2 linked regions of the Bombyx mori genome follow. The protein of the gene in region 1 purifies or fractionates together with the protein of each later gene. This does not show direct contact. Links are inferred from orthologs where the notes say so. Each region holds a gene or a part of one and is shown on either strand. Other genes may lie near its edges.

Region 1 (3,280 bases):
GCTGCTGTCCACGACCTTGACGAGTTTTTCCACAGCCTTGTAAACCAGCGTTGCTAAATTATTAGGAGATTCCTCGCGCAAGGCACGTATCTCCGCACCGGGAACCAATGCGAATACATCTTGTACGTTGGTTACGCTCTCTGACCAGAACTGATCCCAGAAGCTATCGTCCAACGCATCTATAGGCTGCAAAATACATAAATCGATGAAACTAGACTGATTTTTATTTCATTATTTTTCTTCGAATTGGTGCTCAATTACCTGCGACTTTGAAGTTAACTGGACAACCGCCTTTCGAAAGTTTAATTTTGTGTCAGCATTACCCATCTTGTCTTTTATTATTTAATTTGAAAACAATAACTTCATATCAACATACGTTCACACAAAACAATAAATTAAAAAACGTCACTTTTGGCACAGAGTATTTACTTAGATCTATGACTTATATATTCAATGACTTATCTATGAATTAAGTTAGAATCTACTACTATATAGGTCTATGGAATCTACACGTTCATTTTGTCAATACATTAACTAGCCATCAACAGTAATCAAAAATGACATCATTACATTATTTTATGAAATTGTCGATAAAATTTAAGAAAATGTAAAATTTAGTAGCAGTCTTCATAATAAGTTCGAAATTTCTTTTAGGTTTTTGAGCATCAAACACCAAGTAATGTGGATCCATTTATGTCTTTCATTGTTTGAAATGAGTTGAATGAATTGATTAATATATGTACCTAGCTGGTTCTAACGCCTTTACATATACCTATATAGTAGGGACATCCTATATAGTAGGGATAGTAGGACAAATCCATTTTTCGGTCGGAATCGATTGATCATGACACCTACTGCTTAATGGCAGAAAGAGGTAGGGTGGTGGTATCAACCCGTGAGGACTCACAAGGCGTCCTACCACCAGTAATTACGCAAATTATAAATGCGGGTTTGATTCTTATTACACGATGTTATTCCTTCACCGTAGAAGTCAATCGTAAATAATTAACTGTTTAGTAAATATTTCGTTGGAAAAACTGGTACCTACCTGCGGCATTTGAATGCATCGCGGGCATCTTATACCTTAGGCCAAGACGACTTCAATAAATTAAATTAACTCTGTTTTGAAAAAAATAAATACCTGTCTGAGCTAAATGTTTTGGCTCTTTATGTACCTATACGTGACAGCTGACACAGTTTATCGATTGCAGTTGTATTAAAGGTTTTGGCAACCCAGGCTTTCGGATTCGATGAGAGAGAATTGCTGAAAGAAAATAAAGCATTTCGTGAGCTTGAAGAAATGGCTGCTGCGAATATTTTCCGAAGTGCTTTCGGTGGTCTATTACGGAGATCAACAACGTATAGAACGTCCGTAACATGTCGTCTTTCGACCGTTGCGTTGCAGCAAAAGTTCAGCACAATTAAAGCCGCTGTCAAAATATACAAAAGTCAGGCCCTTCAGAATGGGGTAAGACTCTTATCTACTGATATAATAAAATGCATTTTGGGCCGTATAGTGATCATTATATTACAATGAAATATTTCCTTAACATTATATTATTATAAATTTCTCGAGTCTGTTTTAAACAAAATCAATATAACCTCAATTATTATTGCATAACAAAATTACAGTGATAACTCGAACTGTTTAGGTACCACAATCACATCGGTACTCGACAGGCGTGCAGTCTAAGCTTTCGGTTCAGGAAATCGAGGAGCGAGTCCTGAAAGTGTGCAAGGCTTACGACAAACTCAGTGCTAGTCAGGTACATAATATTCATTTAGAAATATTTTGTTTCAGAACGAGAAACATGGTATCCGCAAGTACAGCGGTGGCCCTCCCCTCACCTTAGACCTTATAAAAAGTAGAGTACTGCTTGTACTTCAACTTTATGACAAAATTAACCCTGAACAGGTTAGATTGTGGAAATTTTATTACAGTCAGTGCAAAACTGGTGGGGCATAAAGTTTTATTCTAAGATAAAGAAATATAAAATAATTTTTCTCTTATTTTTCAGTTGACTGTAGATAGCCACTTCATGAATGATCTGGGTCTTGACTCACTGGACCATGTTGAGGTCATAATGGCAATGGAAGATGAATTTGGATTTGAGATACCGGATGGTGATGCAGAGAGACTGGTCAGACCAAAAGACATTGTCCAATACATTGCTGACAAGGAAGATATTTATGAATAATAAAAAAAATATAAACTTCATAATTTTGGACCAGTTGTATTTTTGAAACGATAACAAACCAAACACAAAATTGCATTTTCTTAATTTACAACTGGCCTAAAAGTATTGTTTAGTGATTAGACAACTTTTGTTTTAATTTTACACAAACGTTATCAGTGCACTTCAGACCATTGTGTAAAAAGTGTAAGTTTTGTTTTTAATTATATGCCTGTTAGAATAGATCATTTGTATTTCATTTGATCTGGTGGTACATTATCTGATAATAAAATAGTAAATAGATCACATTTTATTTCATTCATAATTCATGCTAAATAAGCATTTGACTCGAGAGTCCCTTTTTTTTAAAAGAGAAAATGCCTTAAATCTGTACTATTATTTGTCATTAATTTTTATTGATTTTCAAAACTGCTGGAGTATTTTGTATTTCAAGGTGGGCTATGTCCTATATGATGGTAAGTGGCTACCATTACTAATGGATCTTGACAATGACACACATAAAGCTACTAAATAAGAACTTATTTCAAACCTTGTTTGAAGAAAGATGTTGGGTGATTATGATGGGACATGACATGAAGGACAGCAGTGCATACTTGATAACATTGCCTTCCTCTTGCCAGAATATTGGCAATTGCTAACATGCCTGGAGCAGTGATCCTGTTTTTCCAGAAAAGCCAGGTGAACTCAGGAAGTCACTCAAACAATAAACTTAAGCATGCTAGTACTCTTGAAAGACAAAATTTTCATTAAAATACCAAATCTTAATTAGTTTTATACTATCTTATAAATGACAATTTCATATAGATTCTGTGCCCTGCAGAGTAGATGAGCAGTGGTGTTCAACTTAACTGATCATAGATTGTAGCATAACACAGAAATACTGAAATATGGCATCATTCGTTGTGATTGGTGTTTAGCTTCACTTGGAGGAAAACTATTTTCCCAAAAATGAAGTCATGATTTTGAAATCACTTTTTTTTAAAGCGATGTTTTTTGAATGAAGTTAAAAGTCATTGTCTGATAATATTTCATTAAATAGGTCAGGGTTTAGGGTATACCTTTTCTAGTCTTATGGGTTTTTTTGT
Region 2 (3,288 bases), on another chromosome or scaffold:
TCGTCGAACTCGACAAAGAGTTTGCCGTGCAACCTAACTCATGAATCAGCTCGCTGACTTTCTCGCCGGATCTTCTCAGCGGGTCGCGATTCCGATCCGGTAGTAGATTCATTCGCGAACCAGTTGCTCTTGAGTTTTTAGGTCTCCTTCGGAGGCGCTCGGGTAGCTGTTAGCAAATCCCACCCCTCCTGCCTGAGCCTTTGCTCGCCCACCTGTCCTGGTGAAACTGGAAAGGCCTACGGGCCACCAGTAATCCTTCAATATTAAAAAAAAACTCTGTTGATAGAAGAATTGAGTAACATCAATCAGTGTGCTTAGTGTGAGTTTTATAACGTTCTCAATAACGTAAAAGTTAGCAAATATTTGTATGGAATGGGATCGTTTGCGTACGTTTGCCGCTAGGGGTGCTATTGCAACTGCAAAATAGGGTTAACTTTAACGTTATCGAGAATGTTAAGAAACTCGCACTAAGCACACAGATCACCATCCGAGCTGAAAGCGAATCGTTCCCGAAATGTATTATTCCAGCGTACTGCGATTGACATTTAGTGGTGGAACGTATTTGTATTTATTTGATTCGAGTTGATACCAGTAACCTCCGTGAAAAATCAGCAACGAAGCTATAAGTCGTTCCGAAAGTTTGTTACATTCACTATACAACACTTTCGAAGGTTTTATAGACAAAGCGAAAATCTTCCACGAAACGGGTGGTATTGCTCTATAGACTGACGGTCTTAATGTTGCTGCTCGGAATTTTTATAAAGCTGCAAAGCTTATCTTGAACATTTCGTAGGCGTTAAATTTGAAGGGACTGGGTTCTGTAGGTGAGGCGCTATTTAAAAAACACTCTGCTTCATGGTTAATACAATTATATTGCAAATACTTTTTACACTATTACACCATTACATTTTATTTTTACAAACCCTTGATATTGCACTGTCCGTGTCTAGATGAGAAGTCATTGTCCTCACTGAAGAGAAGATAATCATCTGTTTTAAACATTCCAATATTCGAAAACTGTTACTTCACATGGGACAAGTGTTGCCTGCCAATACTTACATATTCAAACTCCAACAGCGAGACTCGGCCATCGATCATTAAATATCCTGTGTTCTATGATGGCTATCGCCACAACAACATTAATATACATTTCGATCCAGTCTCACAAGGCAGTGGTAGTATTAACTAATCAGCTCCGGTAATAATACGAACAAGGCTGATTTCGTTCATCAATCTAAGACAATAAAAAGTACTGAGATCATTTAATTTAATTTTGTAAGTTTTGGACAATTTAGGGGTCTTCGTATTTAAATTTTGCAGGTGCAATAATGTTGCCATATTAATCATTTATCTTCTGTGGGAGTGGACAGGCGCGGTAAAATATACCTAACCGATCTTTATTTCTTATTATTCAACACCGTGTTGTTTTGTCTCATTTTATTTAATTTAATATCTAAAAAGTCTTTATTATAAAAGTTGGATGTCTGAACGATGATTCCTTTGCCTACTGACTGGATTAATCAAATTAAAACAACGTCAAAAGCAAAATATGTAACCAAATTTTACCAAATAGATATTGATATGTAAAGTTCGGAAGAAAATTTAAATTTTAAACTTTAAAAATGATGAACTTACATAAAACGCTATACTAAAATGTCTACGAAATTGCCAAAAGCAACTTTGAATTTAAAACAGGTGGATATTTAGTTTTGCAATAGTGCAATTCGTGACTGTAATAGTCGACTGTTAAAAATCATTGAGACTACAAAATTGTGATCTATCGCTGAGCGTCAGGTGTGCTATGAGCTCGACCACCCTAATGAAAAATAAAACTAATTAATAACTGGAAGAATTAATTGACGAAAAACGACAAGAACAAACTAAAAAAAATATAATCTTCTTCATTCATAATATTTATTCCTTTTGCAGTTTCTTCTGCGTCAAGAAGTATTAAAATTATATAGAGACATATTCCGTACGATACGACTCGTGCCCGATGAACTGACCAGAATCGAACTTAAGCAATGGGCTCAATCTGACTTCAAGAACAATAAACATCATACAGATGAAACTACAATCAAAATCATGTTGCACTATGGAAAAAAAACACTAAAGGATTTGCAACATACACTTGCTTTAAGTAAAAGCTAATATAAACTACACAATTCAATAAATCAAAATATATATCATCATTTAAGATAGGCTGTTTGTAGATTTTCTGTAGTTTTACATTATAACAAGTAGTGATATTTCAATTGTGGTCATATGGGTTAAGTTACTTTTTTATATTTAAATCCATTTAGTTCATCGTAGTGGTCAAACAAGTGTTTAATGGAAGTGAGTAGTTAATTTGTAATCTTAAATATTCATTTAGAAAAAAAAGGCAGTCATCATAACATCAAAAACAATAAGTAATACATGTCAGTTCTAAATACACACTCTTCACCCTAAAGAAAGTTAAAAAACTGGACTAAATAAAAGTGCAAACAAAGTAATGACACAAATGCTACCATTATATTATAGTGATATTAAATCGATAATACCATTCAGAAACATATAAAAATTATAAACTATCACAGTACTGTATAACACTAACAGAAACATTTCATTAATTTAGACTAGATCTAACAAGACGATTATGTATATAGATAATAAATAGTATGGAAATGTTTAAATAATAAATTTAATATATGAAATTTTACAATAACCAATTAATGATTTTCTTTTTCAGTAGAAATTATAATAAAAATATTATATTAGTCGCTATGACCTAAAGAATGAGATGCCTGGTGAACTCATATCAAGTTATGCAACTGTATTGAGTCTCAAATCTCACAAGTACTAATTTTACTAGTACACACATAGTTAACACACCTTCATTTCTCAATGAATTCAGTAAAGGAATAACTTCAATTAAATATAGTTAAATCCACAAAGATTATAATATGCATAATTTATATTACAAGATGCCGTCTTGTAAGACTACATGAGAAGGTACCACTGCCCTGCCTATTTTTGCTGCAGAGCAGTAATTTATTCTGGTTTAAAGAGGGTGCAGTAATGACAATTGTCAACATGCCTGGAGGAGGTTGTCATTAATTTAGTTGTTTCATGAAACAGTATTAGTAGTCAATGTGAACACAATCAAAGGCAGGTTTTTTGAGTCACACAAAATATGTCATCCTGTGCATCTGCTATTATATGTGTAACTCAAAATACAAATCTTACTGTACTTTAAAAATACTTAATGAAACGGTTGTCTCTGACACAATAACTCATGTCGGAGAT

What was found.
Region 2: the proteins of NADH dehydrogenase (region 1) and LYR motif-containing protein 2 purify together in Homo sapiens (affinity purification with mass spectrometry; 3 studies listed by BioGRID and IntAct, counting the BioPlex papers as one, with this or other methods). This does not show direct contact. The link is inferred for Bombyx mori from reciprocal best matches to the Homo sapiens genes NDUFAB1 and LYRM2.

What each region holds. Positions count from the first base shown.
Region 1 is NC_085114.1:14,895,427-14,898,706, reverse strand, and holds NADH dehydrogenase, read left to right. Parts: upstream 1-1,248; 5' UTR 1,249-1,300; coding exon 1,301-1,468; intron 1,469-1,652; coding exon 1,653-1,766; intron 1,767-1,801; coding exon of another isoform or gene 1,802-1,915; intron 1,916-2,018; coding exon 2,019-2,198; 3' UTR 2,199-2,480; downstream 2,481-3,280. Other genes in the region: protein HID1, read right to left, coding at 1-186, 262-327. UniProt on the Homo sapiens protein: Carrier of the growing fatty acid chain in fatty acid biosynthesis.
Region 2 is NC_085129.1:2,303,848-2,307,135, forward strand, and holds LYR motif-containing protein 2, read left to right. Parts: upstream 1-1,522; 5' UTR 1,523-1,653; coding exon 1,654-1,695; intron 1,696-1,897; exon of another isoform or gene 1,898-1,929; coding exon 1,930-2,151; 3' UTR 2,152-2,711; downstream 2,712-3,288. UniProt on the Homo sapiens protein: Involved in efficient integration of the N-module into mitochondrial respiratory chain complex I.